7 linked regions of the Macaca fascicularis genome follow. The protein of the gene in region 1 purifies or fractionates together with the protein of each later gene. This does not show direct contact. Links are inferred from orthologs where the notes say so. Each region holds a gene or a part of one and is shown in the gene's direction. Other genes may lie near its edges. The genes, in order: CBX5, CHAMP1, EHMT2, methyl-CpG-binding domain protein 1, SENP7, ADNP and MECP2.

Evidence for each region.
Region 2: the proteins of CBX5 (region 1) and CHAMP1 purify together in Homo sapiens (affinity purification with mass spectrometry; 6 studies listed by BioGRID and IntAct, with this or other methods). This does not show direct contact. The link is inferred for Macaca fascicularis from reciprocal best matches to the Homo sapiens genes CBX5 and CHAMP1.
Region 3: the proteins of CBX5 (region 1) and EHMT2 purify together in Homo sapiens (affinity purification with mass spectrometry; 3 studies listed by BioGRID and IntAct, with this or other methods). This does not show direct contact. The link is inferred for Macaca fascicularis from reciprocal best matches to the Homo sapiens genes CBX5 and EHMT2.
Region 4: the proteins of CBX5 (region 1) and methyl-CpG-binding domain protein 1 purify together in Homo sapiens (affinity purification with western blotting; 3 studies listed by BioGRID and IntAct, with this or other methods). This does not show direct contact. The link is inferred for Macaca fascicularis from reciprocal best matches to the Homo sapiens genes CBX5 and MBD1.
Region 5: the proteins of CBX5 (region 1) and SENP7 purify together in Homo sapiens (affinity purification with mass spectrometry; 3 studies listed by BioGRID and IntAct, with this or other methods). This does not show direct contact. The link is inferred for Macaca fascicularis from reciprocal best matches to the Homo sapiens genes CBX5 and SENP7.
Region 6: the proteins of CBX5 (region 1) and ADNP purify together in Homo sapiens (affinity purification with mass spectrometry; 4 studies listed by BioGRID and IntAct, with this or other methods). This does not show direct contact. The link is inferred for Macaca fascicularis from reciprocal best matches to the Homo sapiens genes CBX5 and ADNP.
Region 7: the proteins of CBX5 (region 1) and MECP2 purify together in Homo sapiens (affinity purification with western blotting; 3 studies listed by BioGRID, with this or other methods). This does not show direct contact. The link is inferred for Macaca fascicularis from reciprocal best matches to the Homo sapiens genes CBX5 and MECP2.

What each region holds. Positions count from the first base shown.
Region 1 is NC_088385.1:61,102,426-61,105,925, reverse strand, and holds part of CBX5 (chromobox protein homolog 5), read left to right. Parts: intron 1-1,266; exon of another isoform or gene 1,267-1,600; intron 1,601-3,172; 5' UTR 3,173-3,214; coding exon 3,215-3,351; intron 3,352-3,500. UniProt on the Homo sapiens protein: Component of heterochromatin that recognizes and binds histone H3 tails methylated at 'Lys-9' (H3K9me), leading to epigenetic repression. In contrast, it is excluded from chromatin when 'Tyr-41' of histone H3 is phosphorylated (H3Y41ph).
Region 2 is NC_088391.1:104,574,774-104,577,254, forward strand, and holds the end of CHAMP1 (chromosome alignment-maintaining phosphoprotein 1), read left to right. Parts: coding exon 1-942; 3' UTR 943-1,981; downstream 1,982-2,481. UniProt on the Homo sapiens protein: Required for proper alignment of chromosomes at metaphase and their accurate segregation during mitosis. Involved in the maintenance of spindle microtubules attachment to the kinetochore during sister chromatid biorientation.
Region 3 is NC_088378.1:139,819,338-139,822,837, forward strand, and holds part of EHMT2 (histone-lysine N-methyltransferase EHMT2), read left to right. Parts: intron 1-2,219; coding exon 2,220-2,354; intron 2,355-2,479; coding exon 2,480-2,594; intron 2,595-2,753; coding exon 2,754-2,855; intron 2,856-3,074; coding exon 3,075-3,223; intron 3,224-3,315; coding exon 3,316-3,459; intron 3,460-3,500. UniProt on the Homo sapiens protein: Histone methyltransferase that specifically mono- and dimethylates 'Lys-9' of histone H3 (H3K9me1 and H3K9me2, respectively) in euchromatin.
Region 4 is NC_088392.1:39,461,057-39,465,278, forward strand, and holds the start of methyl-CpG-binding domain protein 1, read left to right. Parts: upstream 1-1,422; 5' UTR 1,423-1,543; intron 1,544-2,894; 5' UTR 2,895-2,919; coding exon 2,920-3,029; intron 3,030-4,222. Other genes in the region: CXXC1 (CXXC-type zinc finger protein 1), read left to right, coding at 1-47, 162-308. UniProt on the Homo sapiens protein: Transcriptional repressor that binds CpG islands in promoters where the DNA is methylated at position 5 of cytosine within CpG dinucleotides. Binding is abolished by the presence of 7-mG that is produced by DNA damage by methylmethanesulfonate (MMS).
Region 5 is NC_088376.1:181,716,245-181,719,133, forward strand, and holds the end of SENP7 (sentrin-specific protease 7), read left to right. Parts: intron 1-574; coding exon 575-712; 3' UTR 713-2,389; downstream 2,390-2,889. UniProt on the Homo sapiens protein: Protease that acts as a positive regulator of the cGAS-STING pathway by catalyzing desumoylation of CGAS. Desumoylation of CGAS promotes DNA-binding activity of CGAS, subsequent oligomerization and activation.
Region 6 is NC_088384.1:106,991,695-106,995,194, reverse strand, and holds part of ADNP (activity-dependent neuroprotector homeobox protein), read left to right. Parts: coding exon 1-1,517; 3' UTR 1,518-3,500.
Region 7 is NC_088395.1:160,165,549-160,169,826, reverse strand, and holds the start of MECP2 (methyl-CpG-binding protein 2), read left to right. Parts: upstream 1-1,478; 5' UTR 1,479-1,511; coding exon 1,512-1,573; intron 1,574-4,278. UniProt on the Homo sapiens protein: Chromosomal protein that binds to methylated DNA. It can bind specifically to a single methyl-CpG pair. It is not influenced by sequences flanking the methyl-CpGs.

The sequences.
Region 1 (3,500 bases):
CCCTTTTTCTTACTCTCCTATGGCAGCCACTTCTGGCTTTAAAGTTCCCATATCTATAAAGCAGAGTAGTTTTGAAGCTCTCAAAAATGTTCTTTAGAGCCAGAAGAATGGAAAACTTACAGTATTTCAAGTCTCTGTATGTCTTTTTTATTTATCCCAGTACTCCTTTTCTCAAGAATTGGGACATACTGATACAGAGAGTTGTACATTAATAATGTATCAGGTGATGAATAATTATTTAAAAATCTGTTTCATAACATTATAGAACAACCTAGAAGTGGTTTTAATTTATCAACCATTAGGTTGTGGCAGAACCGCTCTCCTTTTTTTTTTTTTTTAAACTTCTTAGGAATTTTTTTCCACCTAAATTTTATTTTATTTTTTTGAGACAGTCTCACTCTTGTCGCCCAGGCTGGAGTGCAGTGGCACGATCTTGGCTCACTGCAACCTCCGCCTCCCGGGTTCAAGCGATTCTCCTCCCTCAGCCCCCTGAGTAACTGGGACTATATGCGCCTGCCACCGCGCCTGGTTAATTTTTTTGTATTTTTAGTAGAGACGGGGTTTCACCATGTTGGTCGGGCTAGTCTCGAACACCTGACCTCAAATGATTGCCCTGCCCCGTCCTCCCAAAGTTGTGGGATTGCAGGCATGAGCCGCTGCGCCCGGCGCTCCACCTGTAATTTTAGTTAAAAGATTTTTTTTTTTTTGGGTTGTTGTTTTGGTAGTGCTTCGTGTCTTTGGATTTTATCTCTAGTAATCACCCCAAAGAAGGAAAGTTATATAGTGTCTTTAAAATACTTCCCTTCCCCTGTTTCCTGTTATTTTTCCCCTCAAGCAATTTTAATTAACTGTTCTGTGACAGATGGTAAAATGGGGTTGCCCGAAGTGCTCTGGTGGGCTGTATTAAGTGATGGGTGGTTTGTACTGATCGTATTGTAGAAGGATCGAGCCTTTCCCCTCCCCCCTTCAGTTGAGCTGTAATCTTGTTAGATGATCTTAAAATGCTATTGATTAATTTACAGTGCTGTTAGAGGAATAAGCATAAATACTGGATTTAAAACCTAAGAAGTAATTCCCTTGAGCTCTGAATGCCTTAGCCTTGAGGCCAAGAGAGGTACCTTCCAACTTCTCCACCCAGTCTTCACTGAAAAGGAAAGTTAAGCCTTTTAACTTTTCCATTTGCTTCTCCCCCTTAGTGTAGTACTGCTGCCAGTTGCTATGGCAACGGACTGGGACAGCTGCGCAGTGGCGCCCAGGCAGCTGGGTGGGGGCGGGGGAGCTGCCAGCCCGCCAAGACCCAGACCTGGGAGGGGAGGCCCCTCCTGTTAGCCCAGAGGGAAAGAAAGAACTGGGGCGATCCGGTAGGTAAAGGAGGGAACCCCCATTCATTTTCTACCTTTGGGGCTCCTCTTCTGCATGAAGGTATAAAGGGAGATTTTTCTTTTCTCTCCCTCAAAATGAAGAACACATGTAAATCCTTGTTTTTCCTGGTGAGGCAGGGGAGGCCATAGCCACAATGCTTAACTGCATGCATCTAACATGGGGCTGGTTTTAACCCCAGCGCTCTGACCTAAACTGCTCAGCTCCCGGAAATTCCAAGGTGAGTGGGGGTGGGGGTGGGGTACTCTCCCTGGAATATGACATTTCCTGTCTCTGGTGAGGTTGGAGGCTGTTTCATTTTAAATAAACCACATAAAATATTTTCTTGAAGCTTAGGACTCTTCTAAATTCATGGAAAAATTATTTTAACCGCCCCCCGCACCTACATTTTCCTACTACTTCTTCCAAATAGAGTATTTTAATAAAAACTTAGTCTTATAGGGCAGTAATGGGTATAGGCAGTGTTTTAGGTGGGGAGACCTATTGCTAATAAGTTCTGGGGATATGGTTTCCAACTATACATTCTTGTAATAATTTTTAAAGTTTTGCTAATTTGAAGTGAATTGATAATTGCCACTTTTTGTGTGACTTGAACATCATTGTGAGATTAGTAGTGGGCCCTCCCTGACCCGGTGGTTTTCTGGTCAGGGTGGAAATATTTAGAGGGTGCTGATAAACATCTTTAAAGATTACAGGAAAACAAAAATGGAGTTCAGCTAAGAAAACAATTTCTGCTACTCTGTAATCCAGACTGTAGGCGCCATTTAGCATGGTTAAGGAAGAATTCTTAAAAATGATTGTGGAAGAGCAACATGGGAATTTTTAAAACTAGATTCTCTGTTGAGTACCCCCTGGTGTGCATATTTCTGAGCTTAACTCAATTTCCATTTGTGTTTCCTTGCTTCAGCTTTCCTTGGGCCTATGAATGGTTCCTCTGTATTTTGAGGAGGCTTCATGTTGATGCTGAGTCTGGGGCCAGACTTCTTTTTCCTCCTCCTCTTCCTTTGGCCCTGAGTCAACTTCAGTTAAGAGGAGAGGTACCTTCTTAACTATTTGGATTAGTTACATCTTGGGAATTACTCAACAATCTAGTGACTAATTTTGAATTTTAGGACTGAAAATTTTTTCTCCTTTCTGCCTCCCTCCCATCCCCAAATTAGCTTTCTAAAAAGGAAGCTTAGTGTGTTTGAGATGTCAGCCTTGCTTTTGTGAGCTGATGGATGCTCTGAAGGGACAAGCTCAATTTGTTTAAGGGAAATGTACCAAGTCACTGAAAATGTGGTGAAAGATGCCTGAGCAAGCCTTTTTTTTGTGCTGGTGAGAGACTGGGCAAGATGCTCAGAGCACAGAAAACTCATATTTTAGTGGCTTTTCTTTTTTCATTTTTATAAAGACCCTTATTCACTTTGGAGAAAAAGGTTTTAATTTTATCTTGGTTCATTTAACTGAAGATTTTGCACATTTCTGTTTGAGTTCCTGGCTTGTAAATAGTTATAAACATAGCCAGGAATAACATACCACACTACTTGTCTTTTGGAATCTGAAAGAAGAGTTAGACAATTGCGCCTTCTAATAATTTTGGTCTCTTTAGCCGAAGAGAAGGTTGTGGTTGAGGAAGTGAAGACTGATTCATTTTTAAATTAAATTCTTAGGACTCATCTGTAGAATGATTTGAGACTCAAGAGCAGGGCACATGGCAACTTGGTGTTATCCCCTTTTCGTCCCATCAAGAAGAGACAAAGTTTTTAACTCTTCACATGGATTCTAACTATTTTGTCCTTTGCCTTTACAGGGACCCGGTGGCCTTAGTCTTTCAGGTGGAACGGTGTGCGACATGGGAAAGAAAACCAAGCGGACAGCTGACAGTTCTTCTTCAGAGGATGAGGAGGAGTACGTTGTGGAGAAGGTGCTAGACAGGCGTGTAGTTAAGGGACAAGTGGAATATCTACTGAAGTGGAAAGGCTTTTCTGAGTAAGTTCCTTTTTTCCCCCAGGCTTTGGTACTCTGTAGAGATAGACATCTTTGGTTTATTTCCTTAGGAATCATGAGCATCTTTGTCTTTTTCTTCCCCCTCCCGCACTCTTCCTAAGAGTTAGAAGACACAGCAGTAAACAAAACAA
Region 2 (2,481 bases), on another chromosome or scaffold:
GGTTCTTCTGGGCCATCTGAGTCCCCCAAAGCAGCCTCAGATATCTGGAAGCCAGTTCTCTCTATTGATACTGAGCCTAGAAAACCTGCCCTGTTTCCCGAGCCTGCCAAAACAGCCCCTCCAGCTTCTCCAGAACCACGCAAACGTGCCCTTTTTCCAGAGCCCCGGAAGCATGCCCTTTTCCCTGAACTCCCCAAATCTGCTCTATTCTCAGAATCACAGAAGGCTGTTGAGCTTGGTGATGAACTACAAATAGATGCCATAGATGATCAAAAATGTGATCTTTTGGTTCAGGAAGAACTTCTAGCTTCACCTAAGAAACTTTTGGAAGATACTTTATTTCCTTCCTCAAAGAAGCTCAAGAAAGACAACCAAGAGAGCTCAGATGCTGAGCTTAGTAGTAGTGAGTACATAAAAACAGATTTGGATGTGGTGGATGTTAAGGGCCAGGAATCAAGCAGTGATCAAGAGCAGGTTGATGTGGAATCCATTGATTTTAGCAAAGAGAACAAAATGGACATGACTAGTCCAGAGCAGTCTAGAAATGTGCTACAGTTTACTGAAGAAAAAGAAGCTTTTATCTCTGAAGAGGAGATTGCAAAATATATGAAGCGTGGAAAAGGAAAGTATTATTGCAAAATTTGTTGCTGTCGTGCTATGAAAAAAGGTGCTGTTTTGCATCATTTGGTTAATAAGCATAATGTTCATAGCCCTTACAAATGCACAATTTGTGGAAAGGCTTTTCTTTTGGAATCTCTCCTTAAAAATCATGTAGCAGCCCATGGGCAGAGTTTACTTAAATGTCCACGTTGTAATTTTGAATCAAATTTCCCACGAGGTTTTAAGAAACATTTAACTCATTGTCAAAGCCGGCATAATGAAGAGGCAAATAAAAAGCTAATGGAAGCTCTTGAACCGCCACTGGAGGAGCAGCAAATTTGATAGCTCAGTATGAATATTTGTTCTACAAAGGTGTTCGTTGAAACCATTCTTTGTAAGTATAGCTTATCAAATAGCCTAGTTGGATATGTAGATGACATGTGGTGTACCGTGTTTCACTGTCTCAGTTGTGTTACTAAGAATGAGCATTTGATTATTTTTTTCTGGTCTCTGTCTATGTGGCTATCTTGTAAGTCAATCAATTTCTATATAGTCCAGATGGATTAAACTTCTCATTTCTTTTAAATATGTATGAATAATAAAACAAGGAAGTAGGCATTCCATTTAATAATCAAGAGCAAGTTGTACTCAAAGCATTCAGTTAATCTGTGTGTGGAACTAATTTCAGATAATAGAAAATATTAGTTGAAATGTTTAAGAATTAGGCATGAAAAATAAATTTGAGAAATTTTGTTTCCTCACATGTATTTTTAAATCATAAGAGTTATTTTCTATCTGATGTAAAATTAGTTTATAAATCTTAATCAGCTTCTAGATGTTTATTAGCTTTTATGTCATGAAATGTTGGAGTCTCAGGGTTGCTGATTGTCTGCTAATGGGAAAAATTGAGTAAGTCTTTAAAATAGTTTGCAGCCTTCTCCCACAGGAGACAAGTGGAACGATAAGTGTGATTTTAGATCTTTTTTGTCCATAGTTGTTTTCAGTGGAGTCTTCCATTCTATATCTTACCCTAAGATCTGGTTCTTCCCTCCCCATCCCCATCCCAGCCCCCACCCGCCAGCTCACACTAATAGATGATTCTTAATTGCCAAATGTGTTAGAGTTTGTATGTCCTACTCCTGGGCCTTACATGTCGCCTGTTGGGGCTTAAGACCAGGTTAATAAGTAGGAACTGAAAGTCTTCCAGGTTCACAGTAGAAAATTTTATAGACATTTCTGTTAAAGAAATATATCGATTTTATGTTTTTCAGTTCTGTTACTGTAAATACCTTGTACCTGTTCATGGATTATTTTATTCTAAAGTATTTTGTCAAATGTGTATCAACCAAATTAAAAAAGAAAGGCTTTCGTGTCAGCAACATTTTCATGTGTGTTTTCTTTTGTGTAATTTGCATGTATGATATAGAAATCCATTATTTCCATGTTTTCAACATAGGAATTTTCTTATCTGGAGCAGCATTTTCTTAGCTGTGTTTTCTCCAAGTTCTGTGGTCAGGTAAGTTAGGGGAATGCTTGTATAGGGAGGACTCCATGTGAAAAATCTCATCCTTTCGTATGAAAGGTTTTTTAATTCCAGTGGTTGCCTATCCTGCCTGCCTCTGAACAGTGTGAGGCATTTAATCTCAGAGGATTCTGATGTGTAGCCAGGATTGAGATGCTGTACTGGGTTTAATTTAGCTATTCCCAGACTTTTTTTTAACAATGAACAGTTTTGTCCTAGTTCCCCACTGGCTGGCTTCCCTACTAATATGCCCGTTGGGATATCTTAACAATATTTAGTGATGTGGTTTGGCTCTGTGTCAAATCTCTCTCTCTTTTTTTTTATTTTGAGACCGATCCTTGCTCTGTCACCCAGGTTGC
Region 3 (3,500 bases), on another chromosome or scaffold:
CGTACTAGGTTATTTTAAAGCAAGTCCCAGACCTTGTATCATTTTACGTAAATGTATTTCCATATATATATATAAAAATATAAGGCCTCTTTTTGTCGTTCAACATCACTACACTACTGTTTTCACACCTAAAAAAAATTACTGATTTCTTTTTTTTTTTTTTTTTTTTTTTTTGAGACGGAGTCTTGCTCTGTTGCCCAGGCTGGAGTGCAGGGGCCGGATCTCAGCTCACTGCAAGCTCCGCCTCCCGGGTTCAAGCCATTCTCCTGCCTCAGCCTCCCGAGTAGCTGGGACTACAGGCGCCTGCCACCTCGCCCGGCTAGTTTTTTGTATTTTTTAGTAGAGACGGGGTTTCACCGTTTTAGCCAGGATGGTCTCGATCTCCTGACCTCGTCATCTGCCCGTCTCGGCCTCCCAAAGTGCTGGGATTACAGGCTTGAGCCACCGCGCCTGGCCTACTGATTTCTTAATACCATCAAATATCCTGTCAGTCTTCACATTTCCTCAGCTCTCATAAATGGGTTTTTGTCAAGATCCAAATGAGGCCCGCACCTTGATTTGATTAACATTTGTCTTAGGTCGGCCGGGCGTGGTGACTCACGCCTGTAATCCCAGCACTTTGGGAGGCCGAGGCGGGCGGATCACATGAGGTCAGGAGTTCGAGACCAGCCTGACCAACATGGAGAAACCCCGTCTCTACTAAAAAAATACAAAATTAGCTGGGCGTGGTGGTGCATGCCTGTAATCCCAGCTACTCAGGAGGCTGAGGCAGGAGAATCACTTGAACCTGGAAGGCGGAGGTTGCAGTGAGCCAAGATCGTGCCATTGCACTCCAGCCTGGGCAACAAGAGCAAAATACCATCTCAAAAAAAAAAAAAATTTGTCTTAGGTCTCTCTTGGTATTTAGGTTTCCCCATCTTCTTTTTGTTTGTTTGTTTGTTTGTTTGTTTTTGTGTTTTGAGATGGAGTCTCACACTGTGGCCCAGGCTGGAGTGCAGTGGCACGATCTTGGCTCACTGCAAGCTCCGCCTCCTGAGTTCAAGCAATTCTCCTGTCTCAGTCTCCCAAGTAGCTGGAATTATAGGCACCCGCCACCACACCCAGCTCATTTTTCGTATTTTTAGTAGAGACAGGATTTCACTATGTTGGCCAGGCTGGTCTCAAACTCCTGATCTTGTGATCTGCCCACCTCAGCCTCCCAAAGCACTGGAATTACAAGCATGAGCCACCACACCTGCCTGGTTTCCCCATCTTCTAAAAAAAAAATTTCTGGCCAGGCGTGGTGGCTCACGCTTGTAATCCCAGCACTTTGGGAGGCAGGTGGGTCACCTGAGGTCAGGAGACCAGCCTGGCCAACATGGTGAAAACCCATCCCTAATAAAAATACAAAACTTAGCTGGGTGTGGTCGCAGGCACCTGTAATCCCAGCTACTTGGGAGGCTGAGGCAGGAGAATTGCTTGAACCCAGAGGTGGAGGTTGCAGTGAGCTGAGATCACACTATTGCACTGCAGCCTGGGCAACAAGAGCGAAACTCAATAAATAAATAAGAAAGACATTTTTTTCTTGCCATTTATTTGTCAAACCAGGTCAGTTGTATAGAATTTTTCACATTCTGTATGACGTTGGCTGTTTGGGTAGAGATTGACACATCCTCTCTGCCCATATTTCTTGTAAACTGGTAGATCTAGAGGCGTAATCGACTTCAGGTGCCAAGAAGACTTGACAGTGGGTGCAAGTGCTTCTGGCCACATCACATCAGGATGCATGGAACATCTCATATGGTCATTTTTCTTAGTGATAAGATTGACCAGTGGGTTCAGGTGATGGCAGCCTGAACATTTCATATAAAATTTCTCATGAGCTTCATGTCTAGTGTTTTTAGCAACCATTGGTGGTCTTGCCTGTTTATGAACATCATAAAAGGGGGATCAAACTATGTTTATCTTCTGGTACTTGTTTTTTGTTTTTTAATTTAATGTCACATTACCAAGATCTGTGTACATTGCTGTCTATAACTGTGGCACCTTTTTCACTACTGTGTAATAGTCCATGCACCCTCTCTTTATGTGGCCCTTTTTCTCCTCTCCTACCCACACTCATCTTCCCCAGCAGCCATCTGTGGGTAGTGGCGGGGGGCAATGGTGGTGGTGGTTTTTTTAATCTATCTCATTGTCTGAGTCCTGGGGATTGGATATGTCCTGTTCTGCCTCTCTCCCAGTCTGAAGTTGAAGCTCTAACTGAACAACTAAGTGAAGAGGAGGAGGAAGAAGAGGAGGAAGAAGAAGAGGAGGAAGAGGAGGAGGAAGAGGAAGAAGAAGAGGAAGATGAGGAGTCAGGGAATCAGTCAGATAGGGTAAGAGACGGAGGCTGATATCTCCAGAGGAGTGGGAGACTGTGGGGCTGGTGGTCTGGTCCTGAAGGTGTTGGGGGGCCCCCTTGGGGTGAGGGTTCGTAACTCCTCCTCCTCCCCCTTCCCAGAGTGGTTCCAGTGGCCGGCGCAAGGCCAAGAAGAAGTGGCGAAAAGACAGCCCATGGGTGAAGCCATCTCGGAAACGGCGCAAGCGGGAGCCTCCGCGGGCCAAGGAGCCACGAGGTAAGGAGGCTCTGCTGCTTTTGGGTGCCCTCCTCCAGCCCCCGCCCAGCCCCCAGAGTGTGTGCACGCACACACACGCTCTCGCATGTCCACCTGCATGTACCCACGCGTCCAGGCACCTGTGAGCTCGCACTCTCACTCTCTCTGTCTCTGTGTCAGGAGTGAATGGTGTGGGCTCCTCAGGCCCCAGTGAGTACATGGAGGTCCCTCTGGGGTCCCTGGAGCTGCCCAGCGAGGGGACCCTCTCCCCCAACCACGCTGGTAATTGCCAATTGCCGGGACAGGGAGCCACTAGGGGGCAACCTCAGGGCAGGAGGGAAAGGGAAGGAGGGGAACCACGCCAGAGCCGGGGTGTCCATGGCCAGGCTTTAGGGGTTCTGGGGCATGGGGGTGAGGTAGGGAGGGAGTGACAGGACCCGCCAGGGGTCCCAATGGGTGAAGTTCAGGGCCTCCCTCAGCTCCTCTTTTTCTCCGTCCAAGGGGTGTCCAATGACACATCTTCGCTGGAGACAGAGCGAGGGTTTGAGGAGTTGCCCCTGTGCAGCTGCCGCATGGAGGCACCCAAAATCGACCGTATCAGCGAGAGGGCGGGGCACAAGTGCATGGCCACCGAGAGTGTGGACGGAGAGGTGGGGCCGTGGGCTGGTGGGAGAGGTGCCAGGGCGTCCAGTCCCGGGCCCCAGCCTCACCCTTTCTTCTCACCCATCCTCACCACGCACAGCTGTCAGGCTGCAATGCCGCCATCCTCAAGCGGGAGACCATGAGGCCATCCAGCCGCGTGGCCCTGATGGTGCTCTGTGAGACCCACCGCGCCCGCATGGTCAAACACCACTGCTGCCCGGGCTGCGGCTACTTCTGCACGGCGGTGAGTGACCAGTGGGGCAGACAGGTAGAATGCCCCATGGC
Region 4 (4,222 bases), on another chromosome or scaffold:
GGGAGAAGCTGCGGCGTGCGGAAGTGGACTTGGAGCGCGTGCGTGTGGTAGGTTTCGCTGTGGTTTCATGGTGCATGTGGTAGGTTTCCATGCCGGACGTGGCCGAGGGCAGGCGGGGCTTCAGTTGTTCCTGCTTAGGACTCCTGCCGCTCTCTTGGCAGTGGTACAAGCTGGACGAGCTGTTTGAGCAGGAGCGCAATGTGCGCACAGCCATGACAAACCGCGCGGGATTGCTGGCCTTGATGCTGCACCAGACAATCCAGCACGATCCCCTCACTACCGACCTGCGCTCCAGTGCCGACCGCTGAGCCTTCTGGCCCGGACCCCTCACACCCTGCATTCCAGATGGGGGAGCTGCCCGGTGCCCATGTGTCCGTTCCTCCACTCATCTGTTTCTCTGGTTCTCCCTGTGCCCATCCACCGGTTGACCGCCCGTCTGCCTTTATCAGAGGGTCTGTCCCCGTCGACATGTTCAGTGCCTGGTGGGGCTGCGGAGTCCACTCATCCTTGCCTCCTCTCCCTGGGTTTTGTTAATAAAATTTTGAAGAAACCAAGGAAGCTGTGTCCACATTGCTGCGGTTGCAACTGTTCCAGACTCCTGGATAAGATGGGGGGCGCCTGCACCCCGGGAGGGCCCAGGGACCCACATTCCCAGCCTCCCACAGGCAGAGGGTCTACGCAGCACGTATTCAGTGTGGTGACACCGCCCACGCGTGCTCCTGTCTCCCACCCAGAGCTGTCCTCCACTGTGGACGCCAGGCCCCGCCTTTTCCCAACAAGCCCCACGTTGGGGATTCGCCTCCTGCAGGGGCGCGCCCTCCCGCGTGCCTCAGTTTACCTGCGGTGCGTCACCGCCCCTTTCCCCGCCCCGCGCGCTCCAGCACCTGTTCGGCGGGGAGGAGGGAGCGGGACACGACCGCCCTGGGGTTGATGTTCGGAGGGACCGGCGAGCACAGGATAGACCCCAGCGAGAGATGGGAGAAGAGAGCGCCGGCTGGGTCAGGGAGTGCGCAGGCGCGAAGCAGCTTCCTCGCCGCTGTGGGTATCCGCCTCGGAGACCGCGGGAGGGAAGGGAGGGCGCAGGCGCAAGCCCTCCCCGACGACTTCCCTTCAGTTTGAGACTGGAGAGCGCATGCGCAAGCTAGATGGTCAGCGAGCACAGCCCCGACTGCAGGTCCCTCCTTCGATGGGGCACGAGCTGTCGTTGAACGTCAGCACGCAGATGCAACTGGTTTTCGGCCGGGGGGCGCGCGCCCCGCTGCAGAGCGCCAGCCCGCAGGCGCGGGAGCCTCCCTATTAAGGGCACGCGACGTCGAGGCAATAGCGCGCAGGTGCTTAGCCAGAGGCGGAGCCCGAGAGGAAGGCAGCGGACTTCCGGTTCCGGGAGCAACGAACAGCCGCGGAGGCGACAGCTACCGCTTCAGAGGAGGCGGCCGCGGAGGAGGAAGAAGGGGAGGAGGGCGAGGCGGGAGGCGCAGGAGGGACCCTAGCCATGGGTCCACGGGCCTAGAGTGGCGGAAGATACCAGCCTGGTGCCAAACTGGTGAGACAGCCTTGGGGCTGGACGTGGAGAGTGCTCAGGCGGAGGATAGGAAGGAATTGTGGCTGAGAACGCTGACGGGGAGGAATCAAGGGCCCTCAGGCCGATGAGGGGGAGGAATGGCGGCGTCGGAATACTGACGAGGAGAAACAGGGGAATTTAGGCTGAGGACAGGAAGGAATGGAGCTCAGAACTCTGACAGGTAGGAGTGTCGGGATCCTGGGACGAGGACGGAGAGGAATGGTGGAGATCAGAACGCTAAAGGGAGACATCAGGGCATCTGAAGTTGAGAGAGAAATGGGGGTTCAGAACTCCGAGCGGGAGAAATGAGGGGCCCTCAGGCTGATGACAGGAGAAATGGAGGCGTTGGAATGCTGAAAGGGAGGAATGGGAGGCCCCATATAGAGGACGAGGAGCAGTAGGGGATCAGAACGCTGACAGTTAGGGATGGCATGATCCCAGGACAAGAACAGAGAATGGGGGAGGGTTCGGAATGCTGAGGGGAGAAATTAGGGTCTCTCAGGATAAGGGAGGAATGGAGAATGAGAACAGTGAGAGGGAGAAGTGGGGAACTTTTTGGATGTAGAGGAGAGAAACAGGAAGGTTTGGGGGCTGAGACTGGGGAGAAATTGTGGGCCAGAACATTGAAGGAGAAGAAAAGTAAGGGGGGAGCTCTTGGCTGAGGAAGGGGAGGCATGGGAGGCTTCCAGTGTGTGAGAAATGGAAAAGATGAGGGGCTGTTCGGGTCATGGGTTGGAGCAGTTGTGTCTCGCAGAGGAAGTCGAGGTTGTAACACTGAGGTAGCAAGATAAGAGGACATCAGGCAGAGACGGAATGGAATGGTTAAAACACTGAAGGAAGGAAATTAGGAACTCCTGGGTCGGGGAAGGGGGGAATGAGAGACTACTGAAGCCAAGTAGTGAGGGCAAGAGAAATGGGGCCCTTTGGGGCTGAGGATGGGAAGTATGGGGGTCTTGTGGTGATAAAATAGAGGGATAGAGGCCCTTAGGTCAGTGACAGGGAGGAATGAGGGGGGAAGATGAAAAGTTTCTGAATTGGCAGTGAGGAGAAATGATGGGCTGTCAGTCTGAGGATAGAGAGGAGTAGGGGATTAGGACACTAAGAATAATAAACAGGGATCCTTGGGTTGAGGAATGAGGATCTCCTAGGCCCAGAATAGGAAAGAATGGGGTGAGAATATGAGGGGTTTCTTCTCCATATATGGGCTGGTTGCCTGCGGCAGGTCCTAGGTCTTGGGCAAGCACTAATGGATACCAGTGATTTGTGTGGCCTGGGGCACATTTTGTCCCTTCCTAGAGCCTCAGTTTCCCTCATCCCCTCAACCCCCTTTCAGGCTACTGCTGCTTTCTGTGGCCTCCATGGCTGAGGACTGGCTGGACTGCCCGGCCCTGGGCCCTGGCTGGAAGCGCCGTGAAGTCTTTCGCAAGTCAGGGGCCACCTGTGGACGCTCAGACACCTATTACCAGAGGTACTGGGTGGGTTGTGGGCAGAGTGGGGGTGGGGTAGAGCCTCATTAGGGTAAAATCAAATAGTGCGGTTAAATTTATGGATGGAGTTTAAATTATGCACAAACAGTTAATCGTTATTAGCGGATTTTGTGTTTGCAATTTCACCTACTTAATACAGTATTTGTAACTTAAAAGTCACTACTCACAGTGCATTTGTGATTATTGAAGGACATGCACAGAGCAGTGAAAAACTGTCACTCAATGCATGTGTTTCTAGCTGAGACTGAAGGAGCCCTTTTTATTTCAGCTTTAATACCGTAAACAAGTGACCTTTTCGTGGTCTGTTTAGTGTCACATTTTTCTAATTTTTGTATGTTTTGTTGGTGATTTTGCTTTTTAAAATAGTCCTCAAGCGTAGTGCTGAGGTGCTGTTTAGTGTTCTGAGTGTGAGAAGGCCATGTCGTGCCTTACGGAGAAAATACAAGGCAGATAAACCTTGTTGGTTATCTGAGTTACAATGCTGTTGGCTGTAAGTTCAATGTTATGCATCAGAATTATGGTACAACCAGAAAAAGAAGGAAATTTGCCAATATGTGCACAAGGCTGCTTCAGAAAATACAGAAAGCATTTATAGTCTTGAAGCTATGGAAGAGATGAGAAAGCAGCTACGTTGGTGGATTCATGAAATGACGATCAATAAAGCATAGTGGACAGCATTGTTGAGGAAAGCCAAAGTCACGTTACCCTGGGTTAGGAAAATATTAAGGTTGTATCAGCTAGTGCTGGCTGACTTGCACATTTCAAAAGGCAACATGGCATGAAAAATGTTAAACTTGCATGCAATGCAGGTTCTCCCGATCAGGAGTCTTCCGAAGAGTTTTAAAAATACCTTTTAAGTGTTTTATAGGAAAGGGGTTGTGTAGAAGAGTGGTTTTCAATGCCAATGGGATTGGCTTGTTAAACAAAAATATTGGCAAACAAACCTACAGAACACATATGGCCTCCAAAGCCCCTGGTTTGAGTCATTCAAAGACCATGCAAATAATCATTTGTAAAAAATATATATTAAGTAATGTGTATTTAAACAGAAACACGCACAAAACAGAAATTCAGATGCTCTCAGGAACCTAACCCTGTATTTCCTCTAGGAGCAATGGTTTTGTATTCAATGTTCATGGCAACTTTGTAGAACATATCTACCATAACTAATGAG
Region 5 (2,889 bases), on another chromosome or scaffold:
TTTTTTTTTTTTAAACACTCGGGGAAACGTCCTGTGGGGTTGCAATTTGCGATTTCCTGGTTAAGCTTAACATCATTGAAACAGTAGTGATTCTTGAAGCCATAAGTCAGCTATTTCTTACACCGAAAGAAGGCACTTGGCAGGATTTTCCATTTTTAATCTGAGATTTTTCATTAACTACTAAGGCTTTCTCTTTAATATTTCAAAATCTTAACATGTTGGGAAAAGTTGTGATAAAACCAACTTCATTCTGAATCATTCTTTATTTACCAATTCTGTTTGTGCTCATTCACTTAAACATACATTGTAGCAGAACAGAGTATTTAATTTTGATATTTAGAAGTTAGCAATTTGGTAAAAATGTTCTAAAATTGATTGTGGAAGTGGTTACACTGTGAATATACTAAAAATGCTCAATTGTATGCTATTGGTGAATTGTATTATGTGAATTATATCTTAATATAATTGTTATTTTAAAAAAGTTAGCAATTTGTCATTTCTTATAAAAATGAAGTTAAAACAAATTTGAAATTATGCTGCTAAAGTGATTGCACTCTTTTTTTCCTCTCATTAGGATCCTATTGTTAATTTTGAACTTCCAATTCATTTGGAGAAATGGTTTCCTCGTCATGTAATAAAGACCAAACGGGAAGATATTCGAGAGCTCATCTTGAAACTTCATTTACAGCAACAGAAGGGCAGCAGTAGCTAGTTAATCTGTACAAACATGACACAGATGTTCTCTAAGATTACTGGAAAGCCTCTTACTAGCATTTGTGTTAGCCAGCTCACAGAGAAGAAAATAACTTGCAGTAGTTTTATAATAAGTCATTGGAACATTATTTAAAATACATAGGATATATTATTAGAATTGTTGGGATCTTATAAATGGAGTGGGAATGGGGGTGATACAGATAAACTTATTAGATATAAATTAAAATTTTATAAATATTTCATATTTTTCTGAGTAAATATGCTTGGATTATGCAATAGCATATGTAATATGGAAATGTTTTGTAGATAATAAAACTTACATGATCTGTATGTACTTCCACATGACTGGGTGTTGAGGGGAGTGAAAGCCTCCCTGGTGCCAGCCCCAGTGCTTGTCAAATTTGTTGGCAAGTCACATCATATTGTAATTCTATTCTTTGCAGCTCAAGCATGCAGTATGAATACTGTGTATTTTTTAAAAAAGAATTTAGTATCAAGGCTTCAGAAAATGCCATTTATGGCATCCCTTCTGTATGTAACAAAAAGACATTCTTAATGTTAGGAAGATTATAAAAATTCGCTCTTTTAAAGTGCAGCTTATTATTCTCAATTGCTAAATGCGATTACTCTGCTCTCTTTTTTTTTCATTTCTTTTGATGTCATATGTGAGCATCCTATAATTTAGTTCATTTGTTCAGGGTAAAATCTGAAACAAAAAATTTTACCTGTGCAAAATAGTTTTTTAAAAATTATCCATGTAGCTCAACTTGAGGTACTGCTATATAAATATTCACTCTTACATTATCACGGAATTTATGTATAGTTTCTGTAATATAGAAGATAAAATTGATGTCCTCATAACTTTAACAAAGAAAACCCTCAGTCCTATTTATTAATGGTTAGAATTAAATATATAATTTTATAGCTCAATTTACCCAGTATTCATTTGCAAAGCCAGATTGCTCTTACTGCTTTTATATTTTTAAATTGTAGCTTTTAGAGACCTATGATCCTCATGGAACTTAATTTTTTATTAAATATTCAGGTAACAGTTCTGAATTCATGTGATAATGGTGGCATTGTGTATGATTAAGCACTTCAGAACTTTCTAATGTTATCAGGAGTATTTTGAGGGAGATATGATTATATTGTATTTTCTCAGATAAGAAAAATGTTTTTTAACAATATTATTTTAATCTGTTTTAAGCATCTCTTAGATTTACATTATAACTATGTAAAGCAGTGAAGCAAAGGCAATTTAAGATAAAGCTAGAAAGTCTGAACATTTTATTTCAAAATCATATGAATTGAGGTTGTCACTTAAGCCTCAGTATTCTTAGCTTTTGATTTTGTCGCTATCTTTGTATTATTAAAGATATTTGTCTTTTGGATATTTCATATAAAGATGGCTATAATTACATATTTCATTCCCAATTTGTGTGTGTTGGGGGGTACTTTTAAAGGTGACTATTGTTTTGTACATCTAATTTTGGGAAAGCAAGTCTATAAGTCATCTTGTGATTTCTTAATGTTTTTGTTTGTATGTTTTTCAAAGATACCACTGTCCTTTATCATGTTTTGAAGATTGTTTAAAATTCGTTTTCCTAAATTAATGTGCAAATAATGTTTTGAGGATATCAGTGTTTTATATTAAACATATTTCCAATTCATTAAATTGAGGTGTAATTTTTTTCCTCAAGAAACATGAGTTACTGTTAGAAATAAATTTCCAGTTGTATGCTGCTCTGTGTATATCGTGAAATTGATGCTTATATTAATTTTTCCTCATAGTTTAATAAGCATATAGTTTGAGTGTCATTTCAGTTCAGGGAAAGTATTTTAACATCTACTACTAGCAGGCATTTTGCTAGGCACAAAAAGTGAATGATAGCTTTTGTTCCTGAGTCATTTATGGACATGTGAACATTTTAAATATTTTCTGGTAAGAACAACCATAGAGTTGCTTTGGGAATGCAGGAGGGAGCTCAGCCTAGAGGGGGTGTGTGTGTGTGTGTGTGTGTGTGTTAGTGAGGCGGTAGAGAGACAGAGAGCTGTTAGTGAACAAAGCAAGCCTTCCTCGAGAAGATAATATTATTTTAAATTCACAGCTCCTAGGATGTTACCAAAAAAAAAAAAAAAAAAAAAAAGAAAAAATTAGCCAGGCGTGGTGGCGGG
Region 6 (3,500 bases), on another chromosome or scaffold:
AAAAGGCAGATATCCCTGTTAAAAGTTCACCTCAAGCTGCAGTGCCCTATAAAAAAGATGTTGGGAAAACCCTTTGTCCTCTTTGCTTTTCAATCCTAAAAGGACCCATATCTGATGCACTTGCACATCACTTACGAGAGAGGCACCAGGTTATTCAGACGGTTCATCCAGTTGAGAAAAAGCTCACCTACAAATGTATCCATTGCCTTGGTGTGTATACCAGCAACATGACCGCCTCGACTATCACTCTGCATCTAGTTCACTGCAGGGGTGTTGGAAAGACCCAAAATGGCCAGGATAAGACAAATGCACCCTCTCGGCTTAATCAGTCTCCAAGCCTGGCACCTGTGAAGCGCACTTATGAGCAAATGGAATTTCCCTTACTGAAAAAACGAAAGTTAGATGATGATAGTGATTCACCCAGCTTCTTTGAGGAGAAGCCTGAAGAGCCTGTTGTTTTAGCTTTAGACCCCAAGGGTCATGAAGATGATTCCTATGAAGCCAGGAAAAGCTTTCTAACAAAGTATTTCAACAAACAGCCCTATCCCACCAGGAGAGAAATTGAGAAGCTAGCAGCCAGTTTATGGTTATGGAAGAGTGACATTGCTTCCCATTTTAGTAACAAAAGGAAGAAATGTGTCCGTGATTGTGAAAAGTACAAGCCTGGCGTGTTGCTGGGGTTTAACATGAAAGAATTAAATAAAGTCAAGCATGAGATGGATTTTGATGCTGAGTGGCTATTTGAAAATCATGATGAGAAGGATTCCAGAGTCAACGCAAGTAAGACTGCTGACAAAAAGCTTAACCTTGGGAAAGAAGATGACAGTTCCTCAGACAGTTTTGGAAATTTGGAAGAAGAATCCAATGAAAGTGGTAGCCCTTTTGACCCTGTTTTTGAGGTTGAGCCTAAAATCTCTAACAGTAACCCAGAGGAACATGTACTGAAGGTAATTCCTGAGGATGCTTTAGAATCTGAGGAGAAGCTAGACCAAAAAGAGGAGGATGGTTCAAAATACGAAACTATTCATTTGACTGAGGAACCAACCAAACTAATGCACAATGCTTCTGATAGTGAGGTTGACCAAGACGATGTTGTTGAGTGGAAAGACGGAGCTTCTCCATCTGAGAGTGGGCCTGGATCCCAACAAGTGTCAGACTTTGAGGACAATACCTGTGAAATGAAACCAGGAACCTGGTCTGATGAGTCTTCCCAAAGTGAAGATGCAAGGAGCAGTAAGCCAGCTGCCAAAAAAAAGGCTACCATGCAAGGTGACAGAGAGCAGTTGAAATGGAAGAATAGTTCCTATGGAAAAGTTGAAGGGTTTTGGTCTAAGGACCAGTCACAGTGGAAGAATGCAGCTGAGAATGATGAGCGCTTATCTAACCCCCAGATTGAGTGGCAGAATAGCACAATTGACAGTGAGGATGGGGAACAGTTTGACAACATGACTGACGGAGTAGCTGAGCCCATGCATGGCAGCTTAGCTGGAGTTAAACTGAGCAGCCAACAGGCCTAAGTGCCAGGTTCCTTGGCATTGGTGACATGCTGCAGCCTGGAACTCTGATCTCCATTCAGTGTGACTGCAAAGCTGTCTTCTCACTGGTACTGCCTTGTGAGTACTGGTTGGACTGTGGGGCATGTGGCCGCTGCAGTTCCAGTGGTTATTTCTAAGTCTATGACACGACAGGCTGATCTTGCTTCAGAACCTTCTCTGACAGACACGGTAACTAAATGTGAAAAACCAATAAGCTGGTGGCTCATGAATACATACGAGGAAAAGCAGAGGTTTATTTTATCTGCCTTTTCAACATTTCTTTCCCTCTGTGAAATGATTGGTCAGATGTCTTTGAGAAGCGTTAACCTAATTCACATGGTAGTGTAGGGCCAACATACAAGCTACCAGTCTAATGTGTATAGTAGACTTTGGGAAAAGCGATTTTTTTTTCATGTATTCATTCTGAATAGTTGAAATGTATATTTGTACAGTCTTTTAGACCTATTCAAGTGATGCTCATGATACTGTTACTGTGTGCCCATCATAGATTTCTTTTTTTAGTGTTGCCCTTGCTGTGTAATAAACGCTATATCTAGTTTACCTAGCAAAAGCTCAAAACTGCGCTAGTATGGACTTTTGGACAGACTTAGTTTTTGCACATAACCTTGTACAATCTTGCAACAGAGGCCAGCCACGTAAGATATATATCTGGACTCTCTTGTATTATAGGATTTTTCTTGTTCTGAATATCCTTGACATTACAGCTGTCAAAAACAAAAACTGGTATTTCAGATCTGTTTTCTGAAATCTTTTAAGCTAAAATCACATGCAAGAATTGACTTTGCAGCTACTAATTTTGACACCTTTTAGATCTGTATAAAAGTGTGTTGTGTTGAAGCAGCAAACCAATGAGTGCTGCATTTTGGATATTTAGTTTTATCTTTAGTTCAACACCATCATGGTGCATTCATTTATACCATCTAATATATGACACACTGTTGTAGTATGTATAATTTTGTGATCTTTATTTCCCTTTGTATTCATTTTAAGCATCTAAATAAATTGCTGTATTGTGCTTAATGTAAATATTTGCTTTATTACCCATGACAGTTCTGTGTGTCCATTATATCTTTTGCCATTTAATGCCATAACTCTTTCATCAGAGATGGCAGCCACAGTCACAGAGGAAACTTGTGGAAAACCCAAGATCTGTCATCTGCATAAAGAATGCTTTCTCTTGAGGCACCTGGTACAAAATCTGTTTTGCGTTTTTGTTTTTTGTTTTTCTCTTTTAACTGAAAAATAAACACCCTTGAGTTTTTCAGTTCACCTTTTGTTAAGGAGCAGAGCCTGGATATATATGTAAATGTCTCAGTGATTTAAAAAAAAAAATGTAAACATGGATTGGCATTAATTTGCAAGCAGAATCTTAATAGCCTTGATGGGTTTTTTTTTTTTCCCTTGTAGATGAAGTTAAGTGTTCGTTTTCACCTTACAATGGGAACAATTGTAGTGTAGGCAGCTCTGCCTCTGTTGCCACTCTTGGCCATCTTGCTATTAAGGGAAAGGCTTTGAAGAGCACACACTTACAGGGCTGTAAAGATGGAAGGAGCTGGTATTTTTACCGTGCATAGATTCCCAAGAGCAACTTGTACTAAAAAGCAGAAAGTTACAAGGAAGCAGAATTAGGCCAACATTTCCAGCAATTAAAACAATGATGGGATGCTCCAGTCCATGAGGAGGCTGGTCAGTCATCTGTCAAGGATACTGGTGTAAAGAAGTCTGAAGTGGCTGATGTCCATAACTTCTGAGTCCCTTTCCAAAAGACTCTTGTTAATGCTGTTACCAGAGAGTAGAGATTTGACCAGCCTCTCCCTAAAATGTTAAGCTTCTCAACAACAGTACAGGAAGAAGTGCAAGAATAGATTAGAACCTTTAAGGAATTTGGGGCTGGAACGGAGCTATGTTACATCTGTTGTTATACAGGTAGATTATAAATTCTAC
Region 7 (4,278 bases), on another chromosome or scaffold:
CACTGCACTGCAGCCTGGGCTACAGAATGAGACCCCATCCCCCACCCCCCCAAAAAAGAATGAACTCCCAGTTTTCATAGTGGCCCCGGCTGCCTTTCCAATCACATTCCCTACCACTCTCCAGCAACACTGACCTCCTTGTTAGTCCCCAACATGCCAGGCATAGTCTCTCCTCATGGCCTTTGAACTTGCCTGGAATGTTCTTTCCCCAGATATTCAAATGAGGGAGTAAAATGAGGATGAAAACCCATAGATACCTAAATAGCACCCCCTTTACTCTTACTCTATCTTTCTCAAAGCCCCTGTCACTATGTGAAATGATACATTATACTTATGTGTATGCTAGTATGAATCTTCCCGGCAAGAATCTTAGTATGCTGTCTGTTCAGTACCATGCATCCAGAGCCTGGAAGAGTGCCTGGCACATAGCAGGTAGTCAATAAATGAATGGGGGCAGGCAGCCAAATCAGAATCAGGTTTTCTTGCTAAGCATAGAACTAACAGAAGGATCACTGAATGGATTGGATAATGACTGGCATCAGGGTAAGGTCCCCTTAACAAACACTCCTGTCCTGAACACCTGGTTAGCTAACACTTTTCTCATATTTTCCCAAAACACAATTGCTGGATCTCAGCTCCAAATCCATTTTTCTAGGAAAGTGAACAATTGCTGGATCTCAGCTCCCAAATCACATCTTTCAGGCAGAGCTAACATTGCCCCTTATTCACACCTCCACCAAACCATCTGATCCAACAATGACAGGTGTCACGAGGCCTTGGCATGCACTCTCTTCCCCCGCCAGAGTTCTGCGAAGGCCAGGGTTGGGATTTGTTGTCAGTTTATTCCCCACCCCTACGAGAACGTGACCACCGGGCAGGCTCAGATGAAATAATGCATTGAGTAGGCCTCTGAAACCAAGGCCCCTCAGCTGGGGCAACGTCAGGCTCCAGGGCGGGTAACTTTGCTGCTTCTGCTGAAAATGGTGATATTGAGAAACTGCGGGTGCAGTGAAACGCTTATTGCAGCGCACTCGGTGCATCTGTGGACAGAGGGTCAATCGCCCCTCAGGGCCGCGCAAACAGGCGTCCCGAGCCTGGGCCTTCACTTGCCCCAGCATCCGCAAGGGTCCATTAATCCTTAACATTCAAATTCCGCCCACTAAACCAGCCCCTCCGCGCCCAAGCCGCCTCTTTTCCCCAAACGTCGGCCGAAAGCAGCCAATCAACAGCTGGAGGGGACCGCCTCCTTTTCCCTGGCCGAAATGGACAAGAAATCTCGCCAATTGACGGCATCGCCGCTGTGACCGCCCCCCCGCCCCAGCCCGGCCATCACAGCCAATGGCGGGCGGGCTCGCAGCGGCGCCGGGGGCGGGGCGCGGGCGCGCAGGTGCAGCAGCGCGCGGGCCGGCCGGGAGGGCGGGGCGCGACGTCGACCGTGCGGGGTCCCGGCGTCGGCGGCGCGCGCGCTCCCTCCTCTCGGAGAGAGGGCTGTGGTAAAAGCCGTCCGGAAAATGGCCGCCGCCGCCGCCGCCGCGCCGAGCGGAGGAGGAGGAGGAGGCGAGGAGGAGAGACTGTGAGTGGGACCGCCGTGGCCGCGGGCGGGGACCCTTGCCGGGGGGCGGGGGTCAGGGGCGGGACGTGGCGCGGGAGGGGCCCGCGGGGTCGGACGACACGGCTGGCGGATGGCGTCCCTCCTCTCTACCCTCCCCCTCCCGCCGCCGCCGGTGGCGACTCTCCCTTCGGCCCGTCACCCGTGCTCGCGGGTGACCGTCCTCGGCGCGGCCTCCCTGGAGCCGCCTTCGCCTGACGCCCCTCTTCCTTCCGCCCTCGGCGCGCATCCCGGCCCCCGGCCCCGCGGGCGCCCCTGTCGCCGGGGCTTCGCCTGTCGGGGCTGCGCGCGCTCCTGCCCTGCTCGGGGCTTTGGGCCGCGGCGCCGTCGCGCGCCCGCGGCCCCGGCCTCTCCCTGGATCGCGCTCTCCCCTCTCCTCCCTCGCGCGCCCCCTCTCCCGTTACTTGGCCCCCCCCACCGGCGCGCGTGCGCACTTCGCCTCCCGTCGGGAGAGTGCGCCACAAGGGCTCCTGAGCTCTCACCCCCATCTCTGGGCTTTGCCTCCCCCTCCTTCTCGCCCATTCCATGAATTTCTGCCCCCCCACCCCCACGCGAGCGAGTAGGTCCACCGGCTCCTTTCCCCATCTAGCAGGAACAAGGAGGTGGGGATTATTGTCCACAAAAGGACTAGACATTGTGTTCTGGGTCCCACAACTCATCATAAAGAGGTGGTTATAGTTCCCATCAGGAGCCGTGAGTAGGGGACTGTGCGTCCAGCAGCACCCGAGGCTCTTCGGCGCCTGAGGCTCTAAGGTGCGAGCGTGTCCCCAGGGTGCTCAGAGGTTCTTTGGAGTGCTGTGGCCTCGGAATGTGAGCACCCTCCCATCTTACCCTCCCCTTCGCCGGCGATCTTCCAGTTACATAAGTGGAGTGGGACATAGTAGGTAACGGGCTCTCATCGCCCTGGAGCGCTCGGGATCACCGGTACCAGATGGAGCAAGTTCATCGCGACGCTGTGGCTCCTGTTCATTGTGCCTGAAAGGTTATTCTCTGTTCAGTTTGGTTATGACCGAATCACCCAAACTGAAACTCAGATGACTTTTATATGGCAGTGGCAATGTTTCTGTGGTTTTGCACTAAAGACTTAAGGTCATTATGAAGAGTTTAAAAGGATTGCTCTCGCAGGGGAGACCGTTTATGACATTGCTAAGTATGGACCCCAAGGGGGAAAAAGCTCATTCTGGAATTGCTCTGTGGCGGTGACTTCTGTTGTGAGTGTGTTCGGGTGTGGGTTGGTCACAGCAGAAATGGGCTCCACCACAAAATTGATATTCCTGACTCATGGTCAGACAGATGTGTGCTTCTGGTTATTTTTCCAGGAACAGGAATGGGCTCTGCCGAGCCTTGCACACGTTGTGTCTCTGCTGTGCGGGATCAGTACCCCAAACTGAGATAACAGGATCGAATTCATGGGTTGGTTGGTGATCCAGGAACCATACCTACTTGGATGTGATACTGAGTGACTTAGACGTTGTAGGACTCTCATAAGTTTTAGGCATTTTGTTATACTGTAAAAAGCATATACGGCCTCGGTAGTAACGTTGCACTAATAGGTAATTATTACTCTAGAGAATTTTGGGTTCCGTGGCTGGAATGTTCATCTGTATCTCAGCAATTTCAGTTAATAACCAGATTAAGCTGACCTCTTGAGTCTTTTGAAATCTGCTGGGTCCCTATAATAAGATAGGGTCTGGATTTTTTAATCTTTTGGGAATTTCCACCAAGGATTTAGGGAAATAGGCTTATTTATGGGCTTTTCAGGATTTCTATTTTAAATCCCAGTCAGGAAGTGTAGGAAGCACTTGCTTTTATTTTCTTACGTGAATATGTCAGAACCTTAAATCACCCAATCAATCTAGAAGTAGTACAATTGATTAAAATAAGTCACCACAGGTCACCCATTCGTGGCAGGTCAGCTAGGTGGCTGATCACTGGAATACAGTCATATCCCCAGGCAGACACAGGAGCCTCACTTGACGATCCCAAAGTTTGTACATCTGAGCTTGAGACATGACAAGTTGAGGTCTCTGCTTTGTTCTTCATAGTTGGCAGTTTGTCTCCTCGGGTTCCCCTCCAGTTAGCTGTTTATCATACACCTAGCCCTTTCAACAGTGCAGGCAGCTTCCATAGTATAGTTTTCTCTTCAAAGTGCCGGGTGGAGGGGTACCCCCCTTTCCATTGTCCTAATGGCTCCATAGGGCTTCCATACCAGCCCTTTCCAGTGTCCTAACAGCTCAAAGAAACCATCTATGACTTTCTTGTTAGCACTGGCCTATCACACCTTCCTATTGCCTGTTACTAAAATTTAACCTGGAATGCTTTAAGCTTAGAGTACTGGGTCTTTGTTTTACCCGATTGATAGGAGAGTGTCATACAGTCAGCAGAACTCCGACTTTTGTGCTGTTTAATACTTAGGTAGGTCTGGGGCAAGGCACAAACCACTGTGTATTCAAAGGGTTATGGTGCTTACATTCTGTGTGTATATGTTTGTAATTTCCAACCAGAGTCATTTCCCGTGCCTGCCCTGCCTCTGTGCAATCTCATCTAGTGGAGTAGGGAGGCAAGCTGTGGAGTTTGAAAAAAAAATAAACAAAAAAACTGGCTAGATGAGTTTAATAGGCTGTTACCCCCTCTGGAACATTCCTCCCATGTGGAGATGAAATGAGAAG